Regions from separate parts of the Mus musculus genome. Here regions 2 and 3 are each reported to be linked to region 1. The links are microRNA targets in miRTarBase. Many come from high-throughput screens and were not tested one by one. Region 1 holds a microRNA gene; each other region holds the end of a gene's coding sequence.
Evidence for each region. Region 1 holds the annotated microRNA mmu-miR-706 (AGAGAAACCCUGUCUCAAAAAA, at 2,997-3,018, shown strand). A microRNA usually pairs through its seed, bases 2 to 8, with sites in the 3' UTR of a target mRNA and lowers its output. Matches are read on the target gene's strand: a 7mer-m8 pairs with bases 2 to 8, a 7mer-A1 pairs with bases 2 to 7 and ends in A, and an 8mer does both.

Region 1 (5,176 bases):
TGCCCCAGAGTGCTCCACCCGAACCTCACAGAGAGGAAACTTTGACCGCCACCGTTGCTTCCCAGGTGTCTCAGCAACCCTCGGCTGCTGCCTCCCCTGGGGAACAAGCCGTTGTAGGCTCGGCCACCACGACCGTCCCCAGCAGTACCAGCAAAGACCGCCCGGTGTCCCAGCCCAGCCTCGTGGGGAGCAAAGAGGAGCCACCGCCGTCCAGAAGTGGAAGTGGCAGTGGTGGCGCCAGCGCCAAAGAGGCGCAGGAGGATAGGAGCCAGCAACAGGATGATATCGAAGAGCTGGAGACCAAGGCAGTGGGAATGTCCAATGACGGTCGCTTTCTCAAATTTGACATCGAAATCGGCAGAGGCTCCTTTAAGACAGTCTACAAAGGTCTGGACACCGAAACCACTGTGGAAGTCGCCTGGTGTGAATTGCAGGTAATGCCCCACCCCCTTTTTTCTTATTCGGTCGTTTGGATCCCAAATTTGGCTCTGTTAAGCCAGTTTGTCGAGTTCACTCTTTACTTGTAATTCTCTGACTCTGAGAGGGCGGGAAGACTAGTGTCCAAAGAGGTTGAAATTGGGAGATTGTGGAGCTTGTAGTTAGTTAGGTGTTTGGAAAAGATAGGAACTATTGGTGTCAAGAAGGATTGTTATCAGCCAGGGGTAAAAAGAGTCATTTAAGTACAAACTTGTGTGTTTAATGTCAGGCAGGAGACATGGAATTATTGGAAAAGGGTTTCCCTTCGTGTTGGGGATCGAAGAAGTGGGGCCTGGACAAGTGCTTTCCCACTGAGCTAAATATATCCTCAGCCTTTGGGAATTTTTTTTTTTTCTTTTGCTTTAAGTAAATATCAAACCTTTTTTTCCTGTACACTTCATTCTCTTCTAAGCCTCTGCAATAATGAACTGCCTTGTGTGTTTCCATCTCTAAAATCTGATTGTTAGACAAGACCCTGTACTTTTAAGGAACAACTTTCTTGATAGCAGAATATCATAGCATAGTAGCTAATAAAGGCATGCCTGGAAATCCCAACTACTTACTCTATTGGTCGAGGCAGGAGAGCCTCAAGTTCAAGGCCAGTCTGGCCTGGGTAGTGAGACACTGTCTTTTTTGTTTTGTTTTGTTTTGGTTTTTTCGAGACAGGATTTTGTATAGCCCTGGCTGTCCTGGAACTCATTCTGTAGACCAGGCTGGCCTCGAACTCAGAAATTCACCTGCCTCTGCCTCCCAAGTGCTGGGATTAAAGTCTTGCACCACCATCAAAACAACCACCCAGTCCCTGATTCCCAACTCTCTTTCCCTTTAAGTGCTTTCAGAGTAGGAAGGTACAGTATATACCTACCAATATAACCACCTACAGGTGCTTAAGCCTTATGGCTAGCTGTGATCTGACACTGTTCATTAGTCTGTCTTCATCCTATTCAGTCCATAGTGAATAGTAAAAGTCCATGCAAAATTGTATAAGTGCTTTGAAAGTTGTGATAATACCATCATTGTTGTAATATCTTATAAAAGACTTTTTGTGAGTGTCCCAAAGTATAGCCCAGACTGTCCTGAATTTGTTGATCCCTCTGCCTCAGCCTCCAGAGTATTAGAATTATAAGTTAATGCCACTATGCCAGGGATATAAAAGATTTTTAAATGAAACTTCCCAAGAGTCCGAGGGATTACAGTGCTTTCTTCCTTCCTTCCTTTTTTTTTTTAATCTCAGGGAAATTTTCAGGTTATAAATAAAGTGCAGGTATATGCTAGATTAGTTTGGACTACTAATTGCTTGAATTATAGCAATAAATAAATGTTATTATATTTATTATATAAATTTATATTTATATAAATAATATAATATAATATAATATAATATAATATATATTATAGCGATAAATAAATGTTATTATAAAGCATCTATATAAATATTGGTTTGTTAGCACTTGTTCACATCCAGAAATGAGCATGTATTTGTGGTGGAAGCAGAATTTCAGCTACATCATAGATGAAAGTGCCACTACTGATTTCTTGTCAAGAAAATGGACCAAACTGAAATAGGATTGGAAAGTAACTGAAATAATCTCAGAACTTGATTTACCCAAGAATTAATAAACAGCTTGGTTTCCAAATGTCCCAAGGTCATTTGAAATGTGAAAGGAATAATGTTTGGAATTTGCTTCTATGTGGTGGTGCATGCCTTTAATCCCGACACTCGGGAGGCAGAGGCAGGCGGATTTCTGAGTTGGAGGCCAGCCTGGTCTACAAAGTGAGTTCTAGGACAGCCAGGATTATACAGAGAAACCCTGTCTCAGAAAAAAAAAAAAATGGAGTTTGCTTCTAAATATCTAGTGAAGGTGAGCAATTACCCAGCTTCAACAATTATCAGCATATGATTGTTCACTTAAAGATAGTCGATTAAGCTTTCTCTTCCACTTCTCTATATGCTTGAAATTTATTTTCACCATTGGAAATGAGTGTTCGTTTTGTTTTTATTTTAAAAATGTGAAAGAACGTTAACTCAGCATGTGGAAGCAAACATGAAACTGGCAAGTTCTTGAACATAATTCCTTGAGTTCAACACTTAAAATGGAACTTCTAAGCACATTAATGAAGTAAAATAACCAAAAAAAAAATTACCCCTTGTTAATTTTATAACTGATAAGAGTTGGAAATGTGACAAATATTTATTTATTTATTTATTTATTTATTTAATATTTTGGTTTTTTTCAAAACAGGGTTTCTCTGTATAGCCTGGCTGTCCTGGAACTCACTCTGTAGACCAGGCTGGCCTCGAACTCAGAAATCCGCCTGCCTCTGCCTCCCAAGTGCTGGAATTAAAGGCGTGTGCCACCACTGCCTGGCCGTGACAGGTATTTTTTAAAAATTACTTTTAGCCGGGTGTGGTGGCACACGCCTTTAATCCCAGCACTTGGGAAGCAGAGGCAGGTGGATTTCTGAGTTCTAGGCCAGCCTGGTCTACAGAGTGAGTTCCAGGACAGCCAGGGCTATACAGAGAAACCCTGTCTCAAAAAACAAAAAAACAAACAAAATTACTTTTAGTAGGTTTATTTTGTTTTTTGAGATGGCTTTTTTTTTCCCTTACCCTATATTGTGAAGACTCATTGTGTACTCCAAGCTGGCCTTGAATCCATGATTCTTCTGCTGTAGCTTTTGGAGTATTGGTATTACAGGACCATGCCAGACAAACTTACCTTCATTGTTTGTTTGTTTGTTTGTTTGGTAAACTTGTCAAAATATGCCTCTCCTCCTACTGGGCAGTCATACTCAATAATTTAGATGAAACTGATTTATAGGAATTTTTGTACCAAGGATCTATTACTGATCCAGGAATTCAATTCTTCAATTACATTTGTTTTATTTAATTATCTATTTATTTAAGATTTATTTATTTATTATATATAAGTACACTGTTGCTGTCTTCAGACACTCCAGAAGAGGGTGTCAGATTTCATTACAGATGGTTGTGAGCCACCATGTGGCTTTTTATAAATGTGTGCTTTTACTTTTTATTTTTATTTATTTATTTTTAAAGACTTATTTATTTTATGTGTATGAGTGCACTGTTTCTGTCTTCAGACACACCAGAAGAGGGCATCAGATCCCATTACAGATGGTTGTGAGCCACCATGTGGTTGTTGGGAATTGAACTCAGGACTTCTGGAAAGAGCTGTCAGTGTTCTTAACTGCTGAGCCATATCATTCCAGCCCATATCATTTTGTTTTAGATCAAAATATTTGGGTTCAAATTAAAGGTCAAACCTAAGGATAAGTAAAGCTTTGAAAAGAAAAGGAAAAAAAGTACCCCTTTGACATTATCTCCCTAGCAGTGTGATTTTAAGCATGTACTACCATGCTTAGCTTTAAAATTTTTAGTGTATTAAAACTAGAAGGGTTTTGGGAAATAATAGCTCATTAGGTAAGGACCCCTGCCACTAAGCCTGATGTTCAATATAGCACCCACATTGTGGAAGGAGAGAGCCAACTTGTGAAAGTTGTTTTCTGACCCCTGCACTCTTGCTGTGGCACATGTGTACCTACATAAATAGATGCAAAATTGGATAAAATCAGGCTATCTCTCCCACCTACTTGTTTGTTAAATAAGGACCTGAAATCATAGGGCATTAAGTAATTTAGCTTTGGTTAAGAAATTACAAACATTAAAATAGTTATGATATAGCAATTTGGAAGGTATTGAAGGCAATTACAAATTAGACCTGGTAGCAGAGGCCTATAATTTTAGTTATTCAATGAGGCTGAAACAGTAAGATCACAGGTTCAAGGCCTGTCTAGGCTACAGAGTAAATTTTAGGTCAGCCTGAACAACAAAATGAGACCTTAACTCAAAACTAGAGTCAGAAAGAGAAGAGAGCTGGGGATACAGTTCAATGGTAGAGTACTTTAGTGCAGTGTTAGAATATTTGTTTAATAGCTACAAAGTTCTGGGTTCAGTCCAGAAAAGGTAAAGGAAACAACTGTGGTTACTAAAATAAAACTTGCCAGCCAAATTTCTGGCATAGATATGCTCTTCAGGGCCTATCCCATCTTAAGGAGTCTTTGGCAGTTGTAGCTTCTCTGAGAGGGAGAATCATTATCTTTTATCATGTTGTTCCCAACTGGTAGGTTTCTCATGGGCAGTCACAAATCCATGCAACAACAAATTGGATTTAGTAGGCTATTTTTAAAGAGTCAAAGAGTTGAGGAGTATGTGTTGGGGGCATATAAAAGGACTTGGAGGGGAGAAATGGTGGTGGATATATTTGTGTATACATGTTAACACTCTGAAGAATCAAGAAGAATTTAAATTTTTGTTTTTTAGAAAGGCCAGGCTGTCGTGGTACATGCCTTTAGTTCCAGCACTTGGGAGGCAGTCACAGGCTGATCTTTTGAATTTGAAGCCAGCCTGGTCTACATAGTGAGTTTCCAGAAAATCCAAGACTACACAGAGAAACCTAAAAACAACTGATCAAATAAAACAAAAACAAAAACAAAACCCCAAACTACATTTGTAGTCTCAGTAGATAGCTAATTAGTAATACTAATTTCAAATGAAGTTATACTAATTCTGTGTAGAAGTGGCTGTCAGGATTTCTAAAGTTCTCTAATAAATGACAAATTTAATTTTTATCACTTCATATGGGGATCTAGACTTTGGAGGATGAATGCGTGGGGT
Region 2 (5,000 bases), not on the chromosome of region 1:
CTAGTGTACTACTTGGCACACAGTGAGTGCAGAATTCACCACTCATTCATAAGGTGCTGAAAACATTTTGGCAGAGGAGGGCATCAGAAAGCAGCCCTGGACCCTCCATGAAATTCTTTCCCAAACCCTTCCCCAAATCCTGTCCCTACACAAGTAGAAACTTGGTTCAAGGTGGCCAGAAGTTCTTGACTCCTGAGCCACTTTGCTCCCCATATAATGCCTTTTTCTCTTCAATGTGTCTGATGAAAGATTAAGGCTAGGAACTTTCCACTCTGTGGGCAACAGGGGCTTACACCCCAGCCCCACCCCACTCCTCCTGTCCTAGAAAGAAGCCTGTTCCCCCACCACCTATCATGTTAAAAAAGCCCTAGACACCAGCGCCTCAGACCTGAGTACAAAGTTGTTAGGTAGTTATGGAACAGGTATGGTAGCACTTGTCTTTAATCCTATTAAACGTAGAGACCTGTGGGTTTGTTAAAGTGGGCCCTAATCTAGCCTGATTGGTATCCTTTCACTTTAACACATACACACACACATACACACACACACACAGAGAGAGAGAGAGAGAGAGAGAGAGAGAGAGAGAGAGAGAGAGAGAGAGAGAGAGAGAGCGAGCGAGCAACTGATCTGGCAAACCATGGATGCAATTGTCTACCTTAATCTATTCCACACCATCCACAGCACCCTTTGCTGGACTGTGGGTAAGGTGCTAGTACCAACCCATCCTCATGGCCATTCTCTTAACCTCAGCCTGAACTTTGAGAAAGGGGAAACAATGGAAAGGACCCTAAACTGCCTATCTATTGCTTGGAACTTAGTTTCCTAATAATTCCAAAATTTGCTGTCAAGGCAGCTCAGTCCCTAGAAGAGCCTGCCTCATCCTTAAATCGGTGCTCACATCTTTTTCTCCCCCCCCCCCCCCGCTTTTCTTTTTATTCAAGACAGGGTTTCTGTGAGCTCTCATCCTGGAACTTGCTCTATAGATCAGGCTAGACTTAAACCTAAGAGATCCACCTGCCTGCCTCCCTAGAGCTGGTGTTTAAGGCGTGCACCACCAAACCCAGCACCCCTATTTCTTAATAGGAAATTAAGGCTGGGATAGGTACAGTAAGTAGCTGAGTTACAATCTGAACCCAGGCCAGTTGGGTTTGGGCCCATGTACTTACACCAGAACTTTACCTTACCGCCTCATCTTTCAAGTAGAAGAAAAAACCCTCACTGATTTAACTGAAAACTACCCTTTGAACCATACCATGTTCCTGTGGTGCCAGGATTGAAAACCTGGCCTCACACATGCCAGGAAAGCAGTCAACCACTGAGCTGCAACCCTTGGCTCATAAATACCAACCTACCAGTGTTCATGTTTAAGCACACGGATCTGTATGCCTCAGCAGGTAAAGGTGCTTGTCACACACATCGGATGACCTGAGTTTTCCCAAGAGCCCATGTAAACATGCAAGGAGAGAACAGACTCTATGCAGTTGCCTCCTAAGCTCCACCCATGTGGCATGCTATTTAAGACCAACACATACACACCCACGCACAATATGAAAGATTTACATCTAAAACCATAACATACTTAATAGAAGTGAAAAACTTACATCTAAAACCACAAAGTTACCCTGTGAAGTGTGCATCTTCTGCCACTTCCACCTCAACAGTCTGAGAAAACTCATCTTTTGCATTTCTGAAATTCCTTGTTTTTGTTGTTTCTTTGGGATGGGGTAGATGGCTCCGCATCTAAAAGCACTGGCTTCTCTTCCTGGGGACCCAGGTTCAATTCTCAGCACCCATAGAGTTCACAAACACCTGCAAATCAAAGATCTAACACCTTCATACAGACATACATGCAGGCAAAACACCAAGATGCATAAGATAAAAATAAAAAATAGTTTAAAAATAAGAGAATTGGGCTGGGCGGTGGTGGCGCATGCCTTTAATCCCAGCACTCGGGAGGCAGAGGCAGGGAGATTTCTGAGTTCGAGGCCAGCCTGGTCTACAGAGTGAGTTCCAGGACAGCCGGGGCTATACGAAAACCCTGTCTCGAAACACACACACACACACACACACACACACACACACACCCGCAAAAAAAGAGAATTGGCCTTATTCTGGTACTTGTAAATGTTCCTCTAAAATAGTATTTTCACTAACACATTTTTATGTAGATTGTTTTTGAAACAGGACCAATCTCTTATAGCCCAGGTTGTAGCCTTGAACACTTTGAAACTGAGGACAACCTTGAACTCCTGATCCTCCTGCTTCCATCTCCTAAATATGGGAGTTACAGGGATGCTAACTTCCATGTCTGGCCTGTAATCTTCACTGTACGTATGACTTCTATGGTGGCTAAGGTGACAGTGTGTATGATTCCCAACAGCTTGTCATTAACAGTTGCTTAGAATTTTGCCAGAAATCCTCCACACCTCATGCATTTCAGTAGAATCCTCTCCCACGTGCAGTCTGGGTCAGACAATATGTGATGGTAGATGCAGCAGAGCTCAGGTGCTAACATAACAGGCCATTGCAGCCCATTTGGGCCCGTACCAATCCTGTCACTGCGTGACACGAATATATGTCTAAGGACAAATAATATTTAAGCTGAAAGACCAACCAGGGGATGTGAAATGTCTATCTATACCTTGGGCAAGGGACCAGACCAGGAATCACCAGGACGCCCAAGCATGCCAAGGCAAAAAAAAAAGTGAAAATCAAGTTGCTGTCTGGGGAAGCAATGAAAGCAGAGCAAGCAGCAGGGCTGAGTCCTCAGAGCACTGCTTCAAATCCTACTTATCTGAGACACTCATGGGAAGGTGAGGAAAAGAGGGGAAAGTGTGTCCTAAGACCATCTTGGCCATACTTGCAGGGCTACAGTAACTTAGCCCCAGCAGCTCAGGCCAGTGTCTCGTAGAATTAAAGGTTAGGATCCAGTTCAGATTCAGAAACCAACCAATCCTTAATTCCTGGATATTTTCCTGGGCATTTTTCCTCGTGCTGTGGCACACCGAGCACTGCCCACTTCCCTGCAAGCCAAGCTTGTCTCCCTTAACACTGTGCCTGCCAGCCAGGGCCTACCAAGAAAGAGGTATCATATCGGCATCTTCCACTCAACTAAGCACTCCTGCAGGCCCGCATGTCCATGCATCCTCAAGGCCTCAAGTAGGATGAAATGTTCTTACCAAGCCTGCCCTTCCAGACAAGCACACTCTGTTCCAAGTTTGCAGACCAATCAAAAAGAAATGGCTATGGCCATTCGTCAGGAGCAAGCACATTTCCAGGAGGGAGTAAGAAGCAAACACTTCAGCCAGGCGTGGTGGCCCACACTTTTAATCCCAGTACTCAGAAGGCAGAGGCAGGCGGATTTCTGAGTTCGAGGCCAGCCTGGTCTACAAAGTGAGTTCCAGGCAGCCAGGGCTACACAGAGAAACCCTGTCTCAAAAAACTAAAAAAAAAAAAAAAAAAAAGCAAACACCTCAAGCAACAGCCATTTCAGCACAGGACGCCATCTACGAGAAAGGCCTGTGTATGTACTTCCTGTTCTCTCAAGCCTTCCTCCTACAGTAACTTTACTGTTGGTGACTGCAGTGTTTTCAGCACTAGCTTCCCATTTATAAATGTACTTTACATAACAAATACTTAAATATTTCACTGACTTTTCCTTAATTTTATAAATTATAGATTTCTAAAATCATAATTTTCGGCATTTTGGTAATACGAGGTGTTGGGTGTCTTCTTTTAACAATGTTGTCACTAATACCTCCTACTGTGCTGAAGCTTGCTCAGGTACTCATAGCTCCTTAACTGATAAACCCTGACGTCTGGTTCCTTCCCCAGACACCACTGAGGCCCACTTGCTATAAATAAAGCCCTGGAGACATTCTACATTGGAGTCTACTTGGGTTTTCACTGACAGCCACTCACTCACTGAGCTCAGCTTCATCAAATTTGTTTGCAGATTAGGAAACTGAGGCAGACAACTCAATGAATGATCCAGTTCTCACATTAGGTGCTGCTGAAGAAAGCTGAAAGAGTCAACCTTGTATTCACACAGCACTACTATCATACTGGGTCCACTGACCTTAGCAGCCAGGGACTCAATTGCTTTATTACCTCTGTACATACAAAGAAGCTTGGCAGTGAGTGGCCCGGGAGCCAATATACAGACCCATCTACATTCCAGGGCCTGTTCCTGCTCCAGACTCATCTTGTTGAGAAGGCATGACAGGGGATAGACACCCAGAGCAGAGAGTCCTCAGACACTCAAACACAGTATGAGGCCAACAGACCAAAGTACATTTCCAGGGGCTGCAGATGTGCTGCAGACTGCAGTCTGAGGTGGAGAGGCAGGGCAAAAGGAGGTTTGGAGCACTGACTGGGAGATAGGGTGGTGGCAGCATTTCAGGCTTGAGGGTTGATGGGCAATGGGCTCACTTGAGGCGATAGAGCACCTTGCGCTGCATACGGTGTTGGATCTCACCCCTGCGTAGCATGAGCTGCAGCACCTTTCGGATAGCGTGCTCTGGATATTTCTGTAGGAGGGAGCACAAGACAGATGCACAGGTATATCATTATGACCCAAGGGACCTGATGCATCACCGGATCATAGACAATTTTAAACAGACAAAAAATATCCACCTCCATTCTCCCTTGACTTCAGAAAAGTGTGTATGTGATGATGCCTCTTGTGTACTAGGTAAGTACATATATCGACTTTATGCACCTAGTATTAGGAATAATCTCATTTTACAGAGGAAGAAATAGGCACAGGCTGTCACTTGTTTGGGTCATATAGCAATTAAGTGAGCTAGGACTTAAGTCCCTGTGACCCTAGAAGTCAAGCTTTCTCCAGCCCCAGCCTCAGGCAAGACTAGTCTCTTCACTTATAGAGGGCCAGTATCTGTTACTGTATAATTTACTTCCAGGAGCAAACGGAGAGGATACACAGGGAAGGGAACGAGAAACAGAAACCAGGGCTATCCTCATGATTTTAAAGGGCACAG
Region 3 (5,000 bases), not on the chromosome of region 1:
CTACCCTGTTGAACTTGGCCTACTGTGAGGGTCTCCAATGTCCATCATGTGGGTTCAGTGTCAGTCTGCTGTTGGCCTTGATAGAGCAACCACTGTTTCCAGATCTGGGTCAGGGAGAGAGCTAGCTGGAGAGAGCAGCAGACACTGTGGCATAGAGGCTTACTGGGATCTGACTTCCTATTGCTTTCCAGGAGGCTCCAATGCCAGTTCGAAATTAAAGCATTTTTCAAATCCTATTCCAAGACTTGGGACCAAGACAGAGATCGCTCACAGCGTGCTGTACCTGGCCAGCCCTCTGGCTTCCTATGTCTCAGGTATCGTGCTGGTGGTTGATGGTGGAAGCTGGATGACATTCCCCAATGGCATCAAGCAACTGCTAGAGTTTGAATCCTTCTCTGCTAAGCTGTAGGTAAGGTGTTGTTCCCACTTCTCGGGATCCCCATGTCCTTGGATGCCTCATCTTTTATTCTACTAAGTGCAGCTATAAACTACTAGTCATGTTTTCATAGGAGCATCCCTGCCCCTGTCCTGGCACAGAGGGGCCCTGGGCCAGGTGGGCAAGACATGGTCTCCAAGAATGTGAAGGAAGTGGGCTCTATGACACTGGGTTTTCCCAGACCTTATCCTCGTCTCTATTGGAGAAATACAGCCTTAAATTTGCAATTTTCCTATCTTAGCCTCTGGAGTGTGAGAGTACAGGAGTACATGCTAGGATATAACTTTTTCTTTTCTTTTCTTTTCTTTTCTTTTCTTTTCTTTTCTTTTCTTTTCTTTTCTTTCCTTTCCTTTCCTTTCCTTTCCTTTCCTTTCCTTTCCTTTCCTTTCCTTTCCTTTCCTTTCCTTTCCTTTTCTCTCTTTCTTCCTCCTCCTCCACGTTCTTCTTCTTTCTCCTTATAACTTCATCTCAGGTCAACGTTTATTCAGTGATGATTAATGATTACTTTTCTATTAATTAATGAATTAATCAATTTTCTTTACATCATGACTGAAGCTTCCTCTCCCTCCCGTCCTCCCGTCCCCCAGGGGAGTCCTCCCGTGGATATCCACCTTCTTCTTCTTTGAAGATAGGATCTCATGTACACTATGTAGCTGAAGATGATTTTACAAAAGAGCCACCCTGCCAATTTTTGCAGTGTTTGAAGATCACACCCAAGGCTTCCAGCAGGTTCAACCAGCAGAATCAACTGATCTGTACGTCCTCCCCCGGGGATCTTCTGACACATAAACTTCGTACTCAAGATAGTTGTTTTGAGGAGGCAGTGTTCTTCATGGGGAATGCCTCCTGCCTTGCATAGGTCTATAGTCACACAGGAAGTGTTGAGTCTGACTTGGAAATCCGAGCCCACTCCCCTGCCTCTGGGATCAAGCTCTTTGCAAGCTCTGCCTCTCCTCCGCCCACATCTTGAGTAGGAATAACCCGATCATGCATAGCTGAAACTTGCTTACAGTATCTGAGGAATTCCTATGGTTTTACCAGAAAAAAAATGCATTTTCTTGTAAAAAAAAATTTTTTTTTTTGAGACAGGGTTTCTCTGCATAGCCCTGGCTGTCCTGGAACTCTGTAGACCAGGCTGGCCTCGAAATCTGCCTGCCTCTGCCTCCCAAGTGCTGGGATTAAAGGCATTCGCCACCACTGCCCGGGTTTTTTTTTTTTTGTTTTTTGTTTTTTCTACTATAAAAATAGCTATGAGTTGGAATTTGTAAAAGTTTCTAGAGGGCTGGCAAAATGGTTCAGCAGGTAAGAGCACTGACTGCTCTTCTGAAAGTCCTGAGTTCAAATCCCAGCAACCACATGGTGGCTCACAACCATCTGTGATAAGATCTGGTGCATCTGAAGTCAGCTACAGTGAACTCATGTATAATAATAAATAAATCTTTGGGCCAGAGCTAGCAGGATTGAGCGAGCAGAGCAGACCAGAGCGAGCAGAGGTCCTAAAAATTCAATTCCCAACAACCACATGAAGGCTCACAACCATCTGTACAGCTACAGTGTACTCATATACATAAAATAAATAAAGAAATCTTTAATAAAAACGTTTCTAGACAGAAAAAAAATTGACTGATTCTACCATGGAAATAGTGCTTGTGTTTCCTGTCTTTTTTCCATATCTCTTTAGCTTGGTTGCTTCTCATGCCTTCCTCCCACCTACCGAGCCCAGTCCTTCCCCCCTCATGCACTCCTCCCACCAACTGATCAAAGTCCTTCTCCCTCATGCCCTCCTCCCACCAACTGAGTGAAGTCCTCCCCCCTCATGCCCTCCTTCCACCAACAGAGCCCAGTGCCCTCCTCCCCATTATCCTGCCCCCCAACCCTAGCAGCACAGCTTCCTGACTTCTTACCAATGGTCTCCAGATCAGAGGGAGGTGTGGCACTGTGGCCACCCTGGTGGGAGGGAGCATCTCCCCCTCCCTGAAACCTTTCAGCCCTATAGTCACCTGTCTTTGAACTCCCCGCTCTACTACAAATCCTGAGCATGTTCTGCTGTTCCGGGCCCCTTTGGCAGACACAGTATCAAGCTCTTAGCTGTTGAGCCAGCTCAAGAAGGACACAATTTCAGCACTCACTCAATGTGTAAGGTACAAGCAGCCCCACTGCCCCATCCGTGGGGGTTGCCTGCCGGCTCCAGCATGTGGCCACCATGCTGGTGTGTCAGAGCATTTGGTGGCCAGCCTTGTCTAGCAAGTGCTGGGATTAAAGGCATGCGCCACCACCGCCTGGCTAACCTTAATGTGTTAGTGTAGATACCCCCAGAGTCCAGAAGAAGGCATCTTTGAGATCCCCCTGCAGCTGGAGTTATAATCTGATTTGAGTCTCATGAAAATTGAAATCCATTCCTCTTCAAAAGGAGTATATAGCTCTAATCACTAAGCCATTTCTCCAGCCCCGCCCCCCCCCCCCAAGATGCAGATTTTAAAAGGCATTAGTTCATTATGATGGCACAGGCTTGTAATCCCAGCACTTGGGAGACTAAAATAGGAAGATTAAGATTAAGGGTGGTTTAGACTGCACGGTGAGACCCAGCCTTAGAAACCAAGCAAGCAACCAAACAACAAATAACACACCCCTCAAACCCAACCCAAACCAAACCCCCTCAGCAACAGCAAAACCCAGGCTTAGTGGTATACACTTGTAATCCTAGCATAACTGCCACAAATTCAAGGCTAGCTTGGCTACAGAGTGACTATCAGCCATGCCAAAAACCTGTCTTAAAATAACAAAGTGGGGCTGTAGAAATGGCTCAGTGGTTAAGAGCACTGACTACTCTTCCAGAAGTCCGGAGTTCAATTCCCGGCAACCACATGTGTCACTGTGAGGGTGGGCTTTGAGACCCTCCTCCTAGCTGCCTGGAAGTCAGTCTTCTCCTGACTGCCTTTGGATCAAGATGTACAACTCTTTTTGTTTGTTTGTTTGTTTGTTTTTGTTTTTGGAGACAGGGTTTCTCTGTATAGCCCTGGCTGTCCTGGAACTCACTTTGTAGACCAGGATGGCCTCAAACTCAGAAATCAGCCTGCCTCTGCCTCCTGAGTGCTGGGAGTAAAGGCGTGCGCCACCTTGCCCAGCTAAGATGTACAACCCTTGACTCTTTCTCTAGCACCATGTTTGCCTGCACACTGCCATGCATCCTGCCAATATAGTGCACTAAACCTCTGAACCTGTAAGCCAGCCCCAATTAAATGCTGTCCCTTATAAGAATTGCCTTGGTCCAGCCGGGCGTGGTGGCGCTCCTTTATTCCCAGCACTCGGGAGGCAGAGGCAGGCGGATTTCTGAGTTTGAGGCCAACCTGGTCTACAAAGTGAGTTCCGGGTCAGCCAGGGCTGCACAGAGAAACCCTGTCTTGAAAAACCAAAAAAGAAAAAAAAAAAGAATTGCCTTGGTCATGGTGTCTCTTGTTAGCAATGGAAATCTTAAGTCATACAGCCAGTACTGTTACACAGAGAAACTCTGTCTCAAAAAACCCACACATCCTCCCCTACCACAAAAAGAACAAAGTGTCTTGGGTTGTATGTGTTTAATGAACGAACAAACAAAACTGCATGTACTCACCCGTGCCTTGGTTTGAGCCATACAGGTGATTTCTAGCATGTCAGTGTTTTCCATAGGTTACAAATGAAGGTCTGGGTATGTTTATCTTTGTCTATCCAGAACACAAAAACCTTAAAATTGCCCAAAATAAACACTGCTCATTTGGAGGGGGTTCCTTTCCACTGATTTCTGTTGCCTTGGTAACTTGGAGCAGCCCAGCTGTGGCTTGCATGTACTACAAGATCTGGCACCAAAATCCACTTGTCTCCCTGGAGGATTTTCCCAAGCACTGGGTCTTCCTCTCTGTTTGCCAGGGCGGGGCCACCTCATGGAGACATAGGAAACAGGTTGAAGGTACCTGTCTGTTGTATTTGTTTGTTTGTTTTTGCTTTTAAACATTTGTTATTTATTTGCATGCATATGTGTGGGCAGGATGTGTTACGATGCTCATGTGGAGATCCGAGGATAACATTAGAGACTTGGTTTTCTCCTTCTACCAAGTAGATGCTGGGGGTTGAATTCCGGTGACAGGTTTGGTGGTCTTTACCTGCTGAGCCATCTTGCTGGCCCATATTACTGTGTGTGTACAGAACATGGGAAGGGGAGCACATGTATGTGCAGAGGTCAGAGGACAGCTGTGTGTTGTCACTTCTCTTCTTCCTTCCCATGGGTTTTGGGAAGCAAACTCTGGTTGTGAGGCTGGCAATCTCTATGCACTGAACCATCTCAGCGGCCCCTGAAGAAGACCTCTTCACGTCAACATTTTTTTTTTTGAGTTTTTATTTACATGTCTAAAAAAATGTTGCCTGAATATGTTTATGCACCACAGGTATGCAGTGCCTGCAGAGTCCAGAAGAGAGCATTGGATCCCTTGGGATTGGAGTTACAGTGAGCTGCCATGTGAGGGCTAGGAATTGAACCCAGGTCATCTGCAAGAGCAACCAGATTTTTTTTTTTTTTTTTTTTTTTGGCTTT

Region 2: the mRNA of Mcm5 is a reported target of mmu-miR-706. Seed matches in the 3' UTR shown: 7mer-m8 at 3,422-3,428.
Region 3: miRTarBase lists Decr2 as a target of mmu-miR-706. Seed matches in the 3' UTR shown: 7mer-m8 at 1,527-1,533.

What each region holds. Positions count from the first base shown.
Region 1 is chr6:120,032,132-120,037,307 of GRCm38, reverse strand. It overlaps Mir706 (microRNA 706), which reads left to right and starts at 2,997; the gene lies at 2,997-3,080. Wnk1 (WNK lysine deficient protein kinase 1) reads left to right here. Exons shown (of 28, transcript NM_001199084.1): 1 at 1-434.
Region 2 is chr8:75,126,752-75,131,751 of GRCm38, reverse strand. Mcm5 (minichromosome maintenance complex component 5) reads right to left here. Exons shown (of 17, transcript NM_008566.3): 17 at 3,313-4,529. The coding sequence ends at 4,428. Among named protein-coding and RNA genes, the nearest start is that of Mcm5, 20 kb to the right of the region's middle.
Region 3 is chr17:26,078,285-26,083,284 of GRCm38, reverse strand. Decr2 (2-4-dienoyl-Coenzyme A reductase 2, peroxisomal) reads left to right here. Exons shown (of 9, transcript NM_011933.2): 8 at 192-409; 9 at 1,024-2,074. The coding sequence ends at 409. Among named protein-coding and RNA genes, the nearest start is that of Decr2, 9.4 kb to the left of the region's middle.